4 linked regions of the Drosophila melanogaster genome follow. The protein of the gene in region 1 purifies or fractionates together with the protein of each later gene. This does not show direct contact. Each region holds a gene or a part of one and is shown on either strand. Other genes may lie near its edges. The genes, in order: sun, ATPsynD, ATPsyndelta and ATPsynF.

The links.
Region 2: the proteins of sun (region 1) and ATPsynD purify together in Drosophila melanogaster (affinity purification with mass spectrometry; 2 studies listed by BioGRID, with this or other methods). This does not show direct contact.
Region 3: the proteins of sun (region 1) and ATPsyndelta purify together in Drosophila melanogaster (affinity purification with mass spectrometry; 2 studies listed by BioGRID, with this or other methods). This does not show direct contact.
Region 4: the proteins of sun (region 1) and ATPsynF purify together in Drosophila melanogaster (affinity purification with mass spectrometry; 2 studies listed by BioGRID, with this or other methods). This does not show direct contact.

The regions. Positions count from the first base shown.
Region 1 is NC_004354.4:15,847,302-15,850,861, reverse strand, and holds sun (stunted), read left to right. Parts: upstream 1-1,603; 5' UTR 1,604-1,697; coding exon 1,698-1,726; intron 1,727-1,845; coding exon 1,846-1,976; intron 1,977-2,514; coding exon of another isoform or gene 2,515-2,528; exon of another isoform or gene 2,529-2,564; intron 2,565-2,857; coding exon 2,858-2,883; 3' UTR 2,884-3,003; downstream 3,004-3,560. Other genes in the region: UBL3 (ubiquitin like 3), read left to right, coding at 152-316, 434-498; CG8578 (uncharacterized protein), read right to left, coding at 3,549-3,560. UniProt on the Drosophila melanogaster protein: Activates the G-protein coupled receptor mth in vitro, leading to increased intracellular calcium ion levels.
Region 2 is NT_033777.3:19,093,287-19,096,806, forward strand, and holds ATPsynD (ATP synthase, subunit D), read left to right. Parts: upstream 1-1,713; 5' UTR 1,714-1,788; intron 1,789-2,110; 5' UTR 2,111-2,122; coding exon 2,123-2,659; 3' UTR 2,660-2,985; downstream 2,986-3,520. Other genes in the region: mRpL55 (mitochondrial ribosomal protein L55), read right to left, coding at 1,153-1,299, 1,356-1,532. UniProt on the Drosophila melanogaster protein: Mitochondrial membrane ATP synthase (F(1)F(0) ATP synthase or Complex V) produces ATP from ADP in the presence of a proton gradient across the membrane which is generated by electron transport complexes of the respiratory chain.
Region 3 is NC_004354.4:10,211,173-10,217,943, forward strand, and holds ATPsyndelta (ATP synthase, delta subunit), read left to right. Parts: upstream 1-1,797; 5' UTR 1,798-1,902; intron 1,903-2,108; 5' UTR 2,109-2,114; coding exon 2,115-2,313; intron 2,314-2,387; coding exon 2,388-2,599; intron 2,600-2,926; coding exon 2,927-2,989; 3' UTR 2,990-3,824; coding exon of another isoform or gene 3,825-4,949; 3' UTR 4,950-5,376; coding exon of another isoform or gene 5,377-5,382; 3' UTR 5,383-6,221; downstream 6,222-6,771. Other genes in the region: CG2962 (uncharacterized protein), read right to left, coding at 3,825-4,949, 5,377-5,382.
Region 4 is NT_033778.4:24,598,588-24,601,394, reverse strand, and holds ATPsynF (ATP synthase, subunit F), read left to right. Parts: upstream 1-1,573; 5' UTR 1,574-1,628; exon of another isoform or gene 1,629-1,695; 5' UTR 1,696-1,699; coding exon 1,700-1,778; intron 1,779-1,897; coding exon 1,898-2,142; 3' UTR 2,143-2,303; downstream 2,304-2,807. Other genes in the region: CG3548 (uncharacterized protein), read right to left, coding at 1-286, 415-934, 1,010-1,347; CG13587 (uncharacterized protein), read right to left, coding at 2,304-2,496, 2,562-2,807. UniProt on the Drosophila melanogaster protein: Mitochondrial membrane ATP synthase (F(1)F(0) ATP synthase or Complex V) produces ATP from ADP in the presence of a proton gradient across the membrane which is generated by electron transport complexes of the respiratory chain.

The sequences.
Region 1 (3,560 bases):
ATATTTCAAATAAATGCGACTTTTGAAGTTTGTTTAAATATTGTCAGCTTGTTGGCCTCTAAAATCAATTCTTTCTTAGTTGTTTTGCTTTTAGAGTTAGACTTTTGATGCGAAAACCCATGTAATACATTATTGTGCATATATCTTGCAGATTGGACCCACGAAACTGTGTCGAAAGCCGAAATCTTGCGCTTAATTTATCAAGGTCGTTTTCTTCATTGCAATGTAACCTTAGGAGCACTGGGACTTCCATTAGGCAAAACGACTGTTATGCATTTAGTGCCACGTGATAATTTGCCAGAGCCCAATTCACAAGGTAGGTTTTCAAAAAAAAAAAAAAAAAAGAAATATGGTTTCAATTATAAAGAGCTGCTCAAATTTAAATTCGCAATGCATACGAAAAACATCTTACTGAATTTTCCTCCTCTTTTAGATCAAAGACAAAATAGTAAAGGCGGTTCTGGACGATGCTGTTCGACAAATTGCTCTATTTTGTAACTAAATTATTATATAATAGCGTAATATTTAAACTAATTTGCATTAAAAGAAAAAAGAAAAAAAAAAAAACACCCACAACCGAAATAAAAACAAATATGAATGTATAAATTACATTTTTGTGCAGTCAGAAGTATATTTATTAAACTATAATAATGTATGTCTGGATCAACAAGGCGCTTTGTTTCAACTATTAATGTACATACAATATATATTTTATATATATACCACACAGGAATTCATGAGCATGTGCAAAATGCGTATACTCTGTATTAAAGTTGCTAGACTGCATATTTATAACATGTAATATACGAATACAATGCTAATTGCTTTTAGAAACCGGACTTGTTAACCTAATTAGAGAATGGGTAATTACAACACTTATTTCAAATATGTCGAAAATATTGAAAACTAATTATGTGCAAGAATAAGTAATTTTCCCATTGCGTTCTGCTTTTAAGTGTGCGTCTACCGAAAAACTAAATAAAATCAGCAATTACTTGTCAGATCGATTCTTTAATGCGTTAAAGAATATTAAAGAAATTTTTGTTCTGTATATATACACATTTAATTAGAACTTAAGTGTTTTCTTCTGTTAAGTTTTAAAATATTATCTGTAAAGTCTAACTTAAAGTCAATGATAAATAAATAATCTAATATATCCTTAGCTTATCCTATTTTGGGTGCATTGGTGGTTATTTGATTAATTAGCCTAGAACTAAAAACAAATTTCAAGGAAAATTGGGGAATATTTTTTTTAAGTTGATGGTTTAATGTAACAATTTTTCTTGAAATGCTTTATGCAAGGCACGTTAAACAATGTCTGCTTAATTATTTGTGTAGGCATGAATAAGTAACAAGCTTCGTTCTTTCGAATAAAACAGTTTGGCATATCCATATTTATTAGGGTTTTTCCCAAAGGAAGAAAAATAAGTAAATTAGATTTTTAAATATTGAAAAGTTTGAGTTTGGATATCGATAACAAATGTTACTAACAGTGTGTATGTTCAATAACAGAAGTCACAGTCGTCGTCGCTATCTTGACGCGCGTAAGCTAGTATTTAAGGTATATGTGCGACAATCGACGGTATATTTCTGACTTAACTCTCAAAAACTAGTTGGCCACACTGACCGGATTCAGAAAGGGAATATCTTATATATTTTTTGTGTAGCGTGAATATATTTCGAATAAACCGATCACAATGACTGCCTGGAGAGCTGCCGGAATTACGTAAGCATTGTATAAGTGCCTGCCACACCAGCTGTGTTGTGGCAGCATTCTCATGCAAATAAAAACGCCTTTGCTGCCCGATTACATAACATAATTAATCCAAATATTACCGATTGCAGCTACATCCAATACTCCAACATCGCCGCTCGCATTTTGCGCGAGTCCTTGAAGACGGGACTGCGTGCGGATGCCGCCAAGCGCGACGCGAGCCATGTGAAGTTCACTCCCTGGGCAAATGGCAAGCCAGCTCGTACGTATCATAATACTTTAGACGGCCAAATAGCAGCCATTATATAAATTAACTCCGGATAATTCGAAATCCAAGGGGAAACCGTTATCAATGTGTTATTAGGAATGTTTCGAAGTCATCCACAAGTGGTTTCCACACGGTATTCTACCCAAAAGTTTCGGAAAAAAGCCCCGTTTCGAAATGGCAATGTGAAAAATACCGAAAAATGAACGGTTCACTCGTGTTCCCACTTTACTCCGAAAATGTTGCCAATTTACAGGCGTAATATCGCGTGTAAAAACTGTTCCCATCTATAGATATTCGTATATTATTGCATATATCATATATATTTGCAATCTGTTTAAATCCTGATCATCAACATTGAAGCGTTCATACTCATCCAAACCATTTCTAAAACTTTAATTTCAAAATTTTCGTAACTTATTGGAATATCGAAACAAAATTAGGCAAAATTGCTTACCATTCCTTCAAGACAAACGCTCCATAAAGTAATAGAATTTATGTTTCATATTGCGTCATATTTGAATATATTTTTCAGATGAAAGGGCTTAGGTGTTCCATCGTCAAATTAATAATTTAAAAACTGGCGTAAGTGCCTGCCGCGGCAGACAAAACCCAAATTATCCCAGCGTTCGCATTAAACTCAACGACAGTTTATGTATCTAACTTTGTTCCCAAAGTTTCTAACTACGCTTACAAGCTGATCTGCATGCAAATGCGATGTGTTTACATATAATATAATGTTTATATTAATATACATATATATATCCCAAAATTGCCCGCCCCAAAAGTTTACAAGCGACCAACTATTAACTATTTCTTTGTGATGAAAAACTATTATCCAAAGCAAATGCTGATTATTGCCATTTTTCTGTCCGCAGAGCGTCAAACCCAATCGGAATCCTAGATGCTTTTCAGTGGCCACTCGAGAATGATTCGCAACAACTAAGATCCGCCGAAGCTGCAATGTTGTAAAATCATGAAAAATAAATAAAATTAAATAAATGTAATTTATTTAAACACGATGATTTTAATTGTTCTTAAATGTGGCATTTATTTGGGCGTTCCGTTTAGAGATCGCGACCGATGAAACGGACTTCTAGCAAAGATTTAAATATAGACTCAATAGAATATTGTAATTTTGAAAAGAACTATTGGTCAGGTTCACCAGAAGCCTTTTAATTGGGATCAGTGATAGGTTTCTTGCTATAATTTTGTCAACGCATATTTGTATAGAATGATTTTATACACATAATGCTGAACCAATTGAATTGTTACTTATATTTTGCGCTTTAAATATACACATATAGACATTATTTATGTTAATTATTATCCAGTTAGTTTATATTTTAATTTAAATATATATATATATATATTTTTAAGGTAGAGTATTTTGGATTATCCTTCAAAAATTATCGATTTGCTACCACTAAGACCGATTAAATTGCTACCGAAGTGCTATTTCAATTGCAGCATGTTGATTTGTGTGTTGATGATGTCGTGTACTTGCGTTTCCTATGTCATCGGGTGCGATCCTTCAATGGTTGGCGAGATTGCATTTCCCATCTTAGATCATAAGTCCTT
Region 2 (3,520 bases), on another chromosome or scaffold:
AAGTATAAATAGACACATTATTTACGCATTATGTTTTATTATATTTAAGACAAAATACAATCAACGTAAGTTAAAATATAAGATTGCAAACCTATTTACCCTCAATTCTAAATGTTTAAATATACAATAGTACATGACAATTTTGCATTTCCCGTTACGAAATTATATTTGTGTTTTTATCTCGGTAGAACCTTGAAAACCATGTTGTGTCAAGATGCAGCGAAAGCAGCGGGTGGCAACTTTTGGCAGGCAGTGTGCGAAAGCTAAGGTCAGGCCCATCTCTAGGTTGCTTCCGCACACAGACACGCACGCACACAGCGATGGGGAAATGCCAACGATAGCACAGGTCTAATCCATTTAATTCTGGCTTTTAACCGATTTCTGCTAATACTATTTATTTACCCGTTTGGTTTTGGCGACTGCTCTCTCTCTCTCCCTCCGTTCTTATTGCCGTGTGGCCATAATCCAATTATGCTTGTGTTTGTGTGTATGTGTCTGCTCTCTATTGCAATTGCAGTTATTCGCATCCGCCGTGATATGCAACCAACACATTCGCACTCGCGCACTCACACGCACCCGCAGACATCACAAATGCGAGGACCGAAAATCCTGAGCGTCAACAAAATAAATATAGCTCTGGTGTTTTAAAATAGGTTTTCACTCGATTCTGCGTTTGCTGTCTCGTCTTGTTTATGTGCATTCGTCGTTGGTTGTGTGTACTTGTTTTTTTTTTTTTTTGTTAGACGCGACTGTCCATTCAACATTACCACTCAGCCGACGCAGAGCGAGATTATAATTCGGTAACCGATTCACTGGCACTGCTCTAACGGGCTATAGCCTATGATCCAGTCTGGAATGGAGCTAAAGATATGTTGCTTTCATTTATGTCTGCACTCGCGAAAAAGCGTCCACAAATTAACAGTTCTTCGGGAGCGACGCGCAGCTAGACGTCCGACTTTGTTTTCCGACTCGATTAGAGTGACCGTTGTGGGATGGTGGAAAAAAGTGGAGGGCCCATGCTGAAACCGATAACAAAAATACCAGATGTGCGATATACACTATCGATAACGAGCACAATTTCTTAATTCTAATTTAAAACAATTATATAACGGGCTTTCGTGTTTTATTTAACAAATAGTGAATAAAATGCGGCTACTTCTTTTTGATGTACTTCATGTACTTCTTGGCGTTGAAGTTGTCCTCCACCTCCTCCATGATCTTGACCTTCTTGCGCGGCTTGCGGGCCTCCAATCTCGCTCTGCGCTCCGCATCGGTTAAGGTGCTCAGATCCAAGGGAAGCTAGTAGATGGTACTCGTTAATTATGGTTTCGTTAAGTTATAGTAACTAACGTTACCTTGATAATCTTCCTGGGCTCGTGATAGCGGATGTTTATCGTGGATCCATCGGGTTGCACCACAACTGTGGGATATAGCCGGCAGTAAACCGAGCGATGCAGCCTGGTAACCGCCGTCGTGGCCGATGAGATGCAGCGTATCTGCTGAACAGCCTGGGGCAACTGTTTCAGCAACATTTTAATTGATAATCACAATATTTACACTAAATAAGAGCTACACTTAAATCGTGTTTTTGCTGCCAGGCAGCTGATAGTGTGACCGACCCGAGGGTAAGATTTAAAGACTCCTAAATTAGTTATTAAGAATCTGTGGTAGCCCTGGTTCAGTTTCCACATTATGTGGTATTTTCCCCAGCTCTGGTCACATTCGTACTCAAAGTGTAAGTGTTGGTTGCAGAGGCAGAAATTCTTATTTTTCTCCTTGAAAATATAAGTACGTTACGTTAAACACTGCAAAAATAATAAAAAAAAAGCGCACGGTTGGGCTACAACAGCGATTAGTCTGCAAGCCTCGAGGAAAGGACTGCAAACGCGTTTTTAGTTTGAAGGAACATTGAGGATTGAAAAAAATTACATAATTTTTGCGAGCATAACTCGCCGTGCATTATGTCGATAAGTCTGCAACTAAAGAAGCAGAGATTACATTTCAACTAATAAGAATATCGCTGCACAGTTCCAGGACACCTAGAAATCACTTACCACCTCTATAAACCCAAAAACCTAACCTCATCCCCGCTTTTGTTGTTGTCTTGCAGTATCTGTGCAGAATGGCCGCCCGCCGTATCGCCCAATCCTCGATCAACTGGTCCGCTCTCGCCGAGCGCGTGCCCGCCAACCAGAAGAGCAGCTTCGGCGCCTTCAAGACCAAGTCGGACATCTATGTGCGCGCCGTGCTGGCCAATCCCGAGTGCCCACCCCAGATCGATTGGGCCAACTACAAGAAGCTTGTGCCAGTGGCCGGACTCGTCGATAGCTTCCAGAAGCAGTACGAAGCCCTGAAGGTGCCCTATCCCCAGGACAAGGTGTCGTCCCAGGTGGATGCCGAGATCAAGGCGTCGCAGAGCGAAATCGATGCCTACAAGAAGGCCTCGGAGCAGCGCATTCAGAACTACCAAAAGGAGATCGCCCATCTCAAGTCTCTGCTGCCCTACGACCAGATGACCATGGAGGACTACCGCGACGCATTCCCCGATAGCGCACTCGATCCCCTCAACAAGCCCACCTTCTGGCCCCACACTCCCGAGGAGCAGGTCGGCTACAAGTCCAAGGAGCAGCTGGAGGCCGAAGCCCAGGGACACCACTAAACCGGAGCGCACGAGGAGCACTCTGACACTGGCTTCGTTGGTCGTCTGTTCGATTCGAAATGTAATCCGCGTTGAAGTAAATTACCCAAATTAAATTCATTTCAAATGACAGTTACGGTATCTAATTTGCATTTGTTGTCTATGTGACATCTTGTTGGATGGATATGCATAAAGAAAATGGGATCCTTAAATCAAAATAATGAAATAAATTGAGAAAACAATCAATTTGACAGCCCAATGCACTGGAAATGATAGCCGGTCCTTGCAGTTTTATAAGCTAATAGATAAAAATCAAATGCACAAATAAATAAATAAGCAAATTGGCTACAATTCAAACTTAAACTTAAACAAAAATTAAAATTACTAATCGGCACCAATGGTGGTGCTAGACTCCGCTAAATGCGGATGTTGTACTTGCTAAATGAAACTAAAGCTCCCTCTTGTGGGCGGTGGCAAATAAATTCCCAGAGATGTCGGTTTCTGGGAATGAAAAGCACTTCCTGATTTCTAAAAAATTTAATAATTCCGAAAGTACTTTATATTGAAATTTAATGTGCGTCAAATTAGCGTCGATGAGTTAGAGGCGGCACAGTAAGTGGGAATTCCTGCTCCTTATTGCCACACCGCTGGATTTTAATACTTTTAAACCTCTACCTTGGTTTGTGTCCGCACTACAGGCAGTATATTCTAACTGGATTTTCCCGATCGCCTTAGTATATTTTTCAAATGTTTATTGGTTGAAAGACTGAGCACTGCTAGCATTTATTTTGAGAGAATTCAAGCAGTGCCATCTTGTTTGGCTCTCCGAAAGCCGTTAAAAGCTTCAGTCGCCGCTCAAATCTCGTTTCTCTCGCCATCTCG
Region 3 (6,771 bases), 5.6 Mb from region 1:
CTAATTAGAAAACAAATTTTAAAACGCAAGTAGAATGTCATTTACTTCACTAAGCTGAACATTACTTTTGAGAATTATTATGGGTTTTTAATTATTTGTTTTATTCTTAATTAGTTGAGATTGACAACTAATCATAAAGATCGGATGACAAGAAAACCTACATATAATTTTGCCTGAATCAGATAGTACGAAGGGTATACACTTTTCGAAGTATCTAAAAGTACCGTAACAAAAAACAAAAGGAGCAGAAGATGAAAGCGAAGAAGCAAAAAGAGGAGCAACGACCCAACATTGTTGTTGTCTTATGCCGCTGCTTCTTTGCGATGTTGCCGTTCCGCTCGCACCGCTATAGCTTGGGGTCAATAGCTAAGGATCGGATCTGTTGTATATATGTTTATATAGACCGATTGCGGTTAGTTCTCTTATCAGAAATAACATGAAATATATTGCGTTGCGACGCCACTGGCGACCGCGACGCAGGCAGAGGGCAAGACAGCGGAGAAGAGAGTGAGTGAGAGTGTGACGGCGGAGAGAGAGGTAAACAAAAATACACAAACACATACACATGCGCGCTACAGCTGCTCGTTCACATGTGTATGCGGGCCTGTATGTGTGCAACAAACAAAAAGCAGAAAATCCTTCTCTTCTTCACACCCTTTTTCCACAACAAAGTCAGCTGTGTGTGTGAGGAATGAACTTTAAGGCAAGCTTTCTGTTTCTATTTTTTGCAGAGTTTTTCCAACTGAAAGGCGCAATTTGCTAAGACACCTATACACATACACGAAGAGCCAAGCAAAATAGAAGATATAACAAAACAAAATAGAAAATAAGCAGAGCGAAAAATATATAGACAGCTATCTATGCACACAAACACAAACATGGGGAAACACTGTTGTTTTTCGCAACTGCGTTTCGCCTGCAGGTGCGACAGAGAGGGCGCGAGTGGGTGACAAACTTGGGTAAATGTTGCAAGCACTTACGTCCTGTGTGTTTTGTTTGTTTGTTTGTTTGCTTGTCGCCTTTCGCTGTCGTTCGCCAACAAACACCTCAGCGCAGAGCACACACGCGACACGCACACACTCACACACAGTCACAGAGACGTGCACAAATAGCAGCCGAAAATGGCACTCTCTTCTTCTTCACTTGTATAATAATGCAGCAATCTGCATTGTTTCGTTTCTATTTCCAATTGGAATTTGTTGTTGTGCTGCCTGTGCCAGTGTGACCAGGTAGCGCGGTGGCTAAAAATAGTCGCTAACGCCAGTTTTGAATGTTGCGCGGGTAAAAGATTCGTGAGATACGAAAAAACTCCGAACTTTAATAAAAGGATCTAATAAAAAAGGAAATACTGAAAAAGAAACTAAACAAAATCAAAAACACCAGATTCATAACAGTATAAATGGTCGCATGGTTATGCCATGTAAACACACCGTTATTAATCAAAGTCTTAATCTAATAAAGGAAATTTCATTTTTTAAATTATAATTTTTGGAATAAATAGTTTTTCTTTTAATATCATTTTTAATGTACGATCAAAAGCAATATACAAAAAATTTAAGCTTTTAATTGGCGATGCCAGACTAATGAATTAAAAGAATAAGTGTTGCCACTAAAAGTTTATTGGTCTATATAATTTGTTTATTGATTGAGGCACTTTATTATTATAATTAAAACACTTAATTATTATGTGTGAAATGATTGCACTTTTTATTTTGTAAGAGCCTGTTGCGTATTGAAAATTTTGTATTTTGTCTTGTCCTCTAAATATCGTAAAAACGCGTTATTGCTAGATAAGTTTTGTATTCCCGGCTGGTCACTCTGACTTAAACGTTTTTCGCAAAAACAGCGGCTGATCACTGAAGTTTTCTCGTGTTTTTCGCTATCAAACCGAAATAAAAACAGGTGAAAATAACTGATAAATTGAGGGGTAGTCCACTGATCACAGTGCCCGAGGATTTGCAATGAAAAGCGATCGAAATTTGAGCTGGGGAAACGCAATAGCAGCCGCCGCCTAACCTACAAAGTTACATAATTTGGTTATTTTGTTGTTATGCTGGCTGGCTGTGGCAGAAAAGACTTTTAATCCTGAATTTATCCTCTCGTTGCAGCCCAAAATGTCCTTCGTTAAGAACGCCCGTTTGCTGGCCGCCCGCGGCGCTCGCTTGGCCCAGAACCGCAGCTACTCGGATGAGATGAAGCTGACCTTCGCCGCCGCCAACAAAACCTTCTACGATGCCGCTGTGGTGCGCCAAATCGATGTGCCTTCCTTCTCGGGATCCTTCGGCATCCTGGCCAAGCACGTGCCCACTCTGGGTAAGTTCGATCATTCAGTTTCAGTTGCCTCGAGATGGTTATATCACCGTTGGCGAATCTCTTTGCTATTGCAGCTGTCCTGAAGCCCGGCGTTGTCCAGGTGGTGGAAAACGATGGCAAGACCCTCAAGTTCTTCGTCTCCAGCGGTTCCGTCACCGTCAACGAGGATTCCTCCGTTCAGGTTCTGGCCGAGGAGGCCCACAACATCGAGGACATCGATGCCAATGAGGCGCGCCAGCTGCTCGCGAAATACCAGTCACAGCTTAGCTCCGCTGGCGACGACAAGGTGCGAATCTAGTCAAGAAGTTGCATAGTAGAGTAGTGTCTAGAAAGTAGAAGTAGTGGTCCAGAAAGTACAACTCAAACAGACTCTTTTGATGGAAACACTGCTTCCACCATTCACGCCAACTGGCATTTAAGTTACTAAACGATTTCTATGTGCCCATCCTTTTTACTTGATATACTTTCTTTGTACAAACAAGTTTGCTCTTAAATTAACGCTTACACATTCGATATTTCCATGAGTAAACTTATGTTTGAGTTGCTTTTGCATTCTGTATTGCACATTCTGAAGCTATCTAAACGAGACTTAACCACGATCCTTGTTTTGCAGGCCAAGGCCCAGGCTGCCATTGCCGTGGAGGTCGCCGAAGCGTTAGTCAAGGCTGCCGAATAGACGTAATCACCACACAACCGCCACCAATAAACCACAATCGATGCTTTGTGTCTGAAATAAATAAAAAACATAACGATCACCTTAAAAAGCCAGAGAGTTATGAAACAATAAAAAAGCGAATCATAATATCGTATTAATGACCCGTGATCCACCAGGCAAATGATTTTTTTTTCTTTTTTTTTTCATGTTATGCCGCTAAACTGTGTGTTTATATAGTTTATAATATATGTATGTGAGCTGGTGAAGAGAAATGTGTAATATTTGCTCGCTGTGGGATAGACCGTTGATATGATAATGCTTTGGCAATCTTTAAGTCAAAAATATGAGTGATTTGCATTTTGGCCGAAAGAGACGAACGTCGTTTCTTTTTCCCTTGCCAATTTATGCAAATCGCATAAGCATAAAAACTTACAATTTGTAAATGAGCTCGTCTTTCATCTTAACAAATAGTATAGTTTGTATTTCATCTGGTGTGTTGCATTCATGGATAGTTCGCATATCTTATCTCGGATGATTGTTTAAATTTCTCTCAAAAGTAGTAATAAAAAGCAACTTTGTTTTTTTTTTATGGAAACAAGAATTAATCAATGGCTAAAATTATACTTTTGGCAGATAGAAGATAATCCATTTTGAAACTCTTTATAAAGATGATAAATACTATAGAATTGAAAAAAGAAAATTGGATTTTTTTTTTTTGGAATTGTCTATGTATTTGGTAACAAAAAAATGTGTTGTAAAAAAAATGTCTTAAATTAACTCATGGCGTTGTGTGGGAATGGTAATATGCTGTCGATGTAGTTAGCAGGAAGGTCCTCCGATAGATTGGCGAATTGTTCTAGTATCCCGGTGGGCCGTAGGTCTGGGCAGGGGCGTGACCGATGGGCAGGGACTGCTCCTCGGGAGCAAAAACGGGTGCAGGAGCGGGATGTGGCACACTCAGGACGGGAGCGGGTGCTGGGGCGGCATAGACTGGAGCTGGGGCAGGAGCGGAGTAAACTGGAGCGGGAGCAGGAGCGGAGTAAGCTGGAGCGGGAGCAGGTGCGGAGTACACTGGAGCGGGAGCAGGAGCAGAGTACACAGGAGCTGGGGCAGGAGCGGAGTACACTGGAGCGGGAGCAGGTGCGGAGTACACAGGAGCGGGAGCAGGAGCAGCATAAACTGGAGCCGGAGCTGGAGCAGCATAAACTGGAGCCGGAGCAGCGATCTCCTGAGGAGGCAGGTAGGAAGCGACTGGAGCAGCCACTGGTGCGGGCACATCGATGGGGGCATAGGCTGGACCGGCAGCTGGAGCGGAGTGCTCATGGATCACACGCACCACCTTGGTGGCTCCACCCGAAGAGTAACCACCGGAGGAGTAGCCACCCGACGAGTAGCCACCCGACGAGATGCCGCTGTCGTGGCTCTCGTGAACGACCTTGATGACCTGGGACACGGCACCGCCGCCAACCGAAGAGCCGCCGATGAAGGATGGTCCAGCCACGGGTCCAGATGCCACATTCACCACCTTGACAATCTGCGGAGCGCTCTCGACCAGCGGGGCACTCACAATGGGTGCGGATTCCTGCAGGATCTTGATCACCTTGACGGAGGAGGGGGCGGGCCCAGCTGGAGGCAGATAAGCGGGTCCAGGAGCGGGTCCATAGCCACCGCCGCTGCCGCCAGAGATGACCTTCACCTTGAAGATCTGGGGAGCCGCCTCGTAGCCATAGCCGCTGCCATAGCTAGCGCCGGAGGAGTAGCCAACGCCGCCCTGCTGATGGATCACCTTGACCACCTGGACTGGGCCACTGGGTCCATGGCCGCCATAGCCGCGAGCGCCACTACCACCGCCGCCGCCTCCGTTGCCACCACCGCCTCCGAGGTTAAGGCCGCCACCACCGCCTCCACCGCCGCCACCGCCGAGGAGTCCCAGGAAGCCAGCGTTGGCCACAGCGAACAGAGCACACATGCAAACGAAGACCTGGAAGGATGGCAGAGTATAAGAAGCGATTTAGTTTCATGTTTCATGTTGCATCCTTAGAGGATTTTAAAGAATATATAAAGTTCATTAAGTTTTTGTTATGTTTTCCAATTAGAAAGTAGAGTTTTATCGCTGGTTTTTTTTTCTATATCTTTAAAGGATCTTTGATCTTCATAGACTGTATTTTCCAAATGGATATACTTTGTATTCATTCTTTGTTTAAATATTTTCATTTTCAATCTTCTGATATTCTTCAGCACACTTTGTATTTGAATATTAACTATCACTTCTTCGAAAGTTCGAAAGAATTTAAACTGAGCTCAGGATGCTCTTGCCACTTTGTCACTTTTCAAATCAGTTTGGATAAATAAAAAAAAAAAAACTAGAAGAGGATATTTGCCGGCACAGGACATTGTGAGCAGCTCACCTTCATGCTGACTACTAATCCACTTGATGCGATGATACCAATTCCAAAAAAAAAAAAACGCCTTGAGTGCCGATGAGCAAGCGACTGATGTCCGATCGATTGGAGACCAAGTCTTTTATACGATATAAGCCAGCAAGGGCGAACAAAAGGCGTTTCATTAACATTTCCAAACTGCCCATCAACGCCATCATCATCATCGCCACGATGATGAGCAGCATCATGATGATGGGCTTTCGTTTTCATTTCGATTTTCACCAAATGCTGCTGGACGCACCCAAAAGTGCCAATCGTCGTGGTTGGTTCTTCCATAGCCAGTTGGATTCGGAGCTACCAGCTACCAGCTACCAGCTACCAGCTACCAGCTACCAGCTACCAGTTTCAGTTTCATCAAGTCTTACGCTGCATTTCCCAAATTCCGAATGGGGATCCCACAATTAGCATGAAAATGAGACGCTACGTTAGTGATAAGCTCGGAATGGGGCTTTCATATTTCGTATTTTTTTTTTTATTCGGCATCTTATGTTTTATGGTTTAGGTTTTCGTTTTCATTTTGATTTTGATTTCGATTTGGATTTTGGATTTTGGTCAATTCAATTTGCATACACGGGCGTGCTGCAAAGCGGTTGCCTCACAAGGCGGCCGGCAGTCTGTCATAAACCAAAGCGAAAACCTAACCCAACCCAACCCAATCCAATCCAATCGAAACCAAACCAACCCATTCCATTTCACCTCATCCGGCAATTTCAAGGTGAATCTGAATCGGAATCTGTTGTCAAGCCGAACCATCTCATTGATGGTGGCTATATTCCATCTATATGCAGGTATTTATAAAACGAGCCGATTATTATGCAAGCCACCAGTCGCATCTTCGAGCCATGTAAAACGCATTATGTTGGCCCAATAGGCCAAAGATGTTGTAAAATTGGCCAACGGTTCGGATCAGTGATATCTGTTGGCGCATTTTAAATAGCCACTAAGTATTACATACTTACAACAATAAACATATGTTTATTTACACAAATATTCAACATAATCAACTGATGTGCATATATATATATATCCATTTAGAATCATATTTCTACTCAGTTTATAACAATTTTATAAAATACTATCAAATTGTTCAAATTGGTTATGCTTTTCGGTTAAGAAACGTATTAATTTATACCAAAAAAAAAAGAGATTTTCAGTGGGCAGATCAGATTGGTGGGAAATCAAGTAATATCCAAGAAATGGTTGGCTAACCTGCACTCTGCCACTAATCGTGATTATGATCTTGTCGCGGTCTATTATGGTTTGTTAATTGATCCATGCATGGAATGCATCTGTTGAGAAACTACATACATACATACATAAATATCTATATTAGTGCATCTGCAATCTCGAAACAAGTTTGGC
Region 4 (2,807 bases), on another chromosome or scaffold:
GCCGCAGCTTGAGGTCCTGCTCCTGCCGGTAGTAGGCCATCTTCACCTCCTGCTCCATCTGCTCGAAGCGCAGCTTCTGCTCGTGTTCCCGCCGGGCGTAGTCGATTTCGGCCAGACGGGCCTGCTTGAGCAGCCTAAACAGGTCCTGCTTGTACTTCTGCTCTATCTCCGTGGCGGCGACCAAATCTAAGGACTGGCTATTTGTGTCTGCAACTGGGGTGGCGCTCGGAGCTGCGTTGGTGGAGGCTTCGTTCTCGTCGGACAGCAGCGACTGGGCCTGTGAGAGCTGGTTAACGATGAGATAGTATTATTAGTAAGAAAGATTAAGATTCCCCTTCACAAAAATTTGCAACTTGTTCAGCTAAACCTTAATTAATAATAATAAATAAACTTGCGGCTTGTGTTCAAACTCACATTCCTTTGTCGCCGCTTTCGTGGTGGGCCTACGCCCTTTTCGTTCTCCTCCCCCGTTTCGCCGGACGTTTCTGTCTTGGCGCCCGAGGGCGACTGCTTGGCCTTGGTCCGCTTGCGTCGCTGGGCTGGCAGCTGGGCGGGATTTCCCTCCTGCTGGGAGTCCCCGTCTCCGCCAGCAGTGGAGGGCGGCGGCGAGGGGATGGCTATTGTGGAGGTCTGCAGCGTGTCCTCGCTGGCGTTCGTAGAGTTGGGCAGAGCGGCCAGCGGCATGTCTTCGTCCTCGTCGATGTCCATGAGCTCCTTCTTAAGAGCGCCGTTTGTGTTCGCGCTGCGTGTCTGACTGCGCGAGGTGACCGGATCCTTCTGCATCTCCTCCAGGAACTCGATCATCCGCATGCCTTCCAGGGCCTCCGTTTTCGGATGCTTCTGCTGGTGCTCCCGCTTGGCGGAGTTCTTCATGCTGCGCCACTGCACCTGGATCTGCTCCAGCAGGCGATGGCGGAAGTTAAGGGCATTGAACCTGGATGGGGGGTTGGAATGGAAGGAGTGAAGGGCCATTATAAGACGAGCTCCACTGCCCAATGGCGCAACTTACTGCTTGGTGATCTGCGACCAGGCCAGACGCTTGGCCTTTATGCTCTTGGCGTCCACGCTCCGGTTCTCCACGAAGGCCACCTTGGACTTGATGACCTCAAGGAGCAGCCCCCTTTCCGCCTCCTCCCAGTTAAGGGAGCGTTTCTTGCGCGTGCCCTTCTTCTTGCCACCCGCGCCTTCCTTCTCGCCAGCATCCTCGGCCGCATCCTCCGCGTTCTCCGCCCCCTCGTCCGCGGTGGCGCTGCTTGACTTCTGCGGCTTCAGCTCCACCTTCTCGTCCTCGTCGTCGTCCTCCGGCGGAGAGGAGGCTCCCTTGGTCAGCAACTCCTCCAGTTTCATTGTTTTTGTTTACACACTGGATTCGCTTTGGCTGGATTCTGATTCGAATGCCCAGGCTTGCAAAAATCCTATTTGATTTCTGTATATACTGGAGCTTAGTGATGTGAGAAGTGCATCGTGCATCGGGCATCGATATATTCGCTGTATCGATGACGTAGCGAATACATCCTCCCTGTTAGCGGAGACGCACACAATAAATTCGCACATAGTATATTTCGGTATATTGGTCGATGAAAATCCCAGCTCTCGCCGCTTTGGTCATACTGTCAGTATCGAAGGAAGTAAGTAGCAGGCGTAATTTTATGTTTCATAAGAATCCGATTTAAGAATATATCTCAACCAAACCAGCGCGATGGCATTCGGTGACTATCCAGCTGAGTACAACCCCAAGGTGCACGGGCCCTACGACCCCGCTCGCTTCTACGGCAAAGGTGAGCAGGTTACGTAATTTTTGCGGCAGGCACAGAGCACATTTGCACTGCCCAAAAATGTGCAGCGTTTTACATAATTTAAACAACTTTCCGACCTCTCCGCTCTCTCCGATCCGCAGCCGATGTGCCCTTCGGCCAGGTCAAGCTGGGCGAGATCGGCGCCTGGCTGGGACGCCGCAACAAGACCCCCAACGCTGTGGCCGGAGCTGTGAGCCGTGCCTGGTGGCGCTGGCAGCACAAGTACGTGTTCCCAAAGCGCGCCGGGATCGCTCCCTTCTTCCAGCTGACCGTCGCCAGCATGACGTTCTTCTATCTGATTAACTACACCAAGTTGAAGCACCACAGGAACTACAAGTACCACTAAGCGGCGCTGCCCGGTGGTCCTGCATCTGCAACAGATTCTACACTTTCCACAAGGCGTGCGAGAGGCGGGCAATCACCACTAAACTATATCTATTTGGCTTTTGTGTTTTGAAAACTGCTTAAGTGAATAAAACGGCTGCGAATATCCATGCTGCCATAGACTCAGACTCGGTCTCTTCCGCACTCGAAGACTGCATTTGGGCCGATGTCCAGCTCGGAACTGGACTGCTCCCAGCCGAAAGTTGACCGGGCCGTGTGGATTTCGCAGATAAAGGGCAGCTCCCGGTCGCAGTTCAGGGTTTGCCAGGTTCCCTGCGGCGTCAAGGCCACGCAGCTGGCGTTGCCCAGATCACCACTGCAAATTCGGTTAGATTTAGAGAAGATAGCATTGGCGGCTAACCTAATAAACTGTCAGCCTACCCAACTCGAGGATGACCACCATCCCAGGCTCTGTAAAGAAAGCACTGCAAGCTCTCCCCTTGGGAGTTCCTGAAGTCCAGTGGGCTCAATGACGTTGAGCTGTTGTAGGCCAAACCCACATAGGCCAGATAGACATTACCTTCTGCCAGAGACTGTGATTTCCTGTTGAATTCCACTAGCCATTGGGCCAATAAACTGGTTCTGTGTTCGGATGCGATGTGGGCCAGACTACCAGTGAACTCCGAG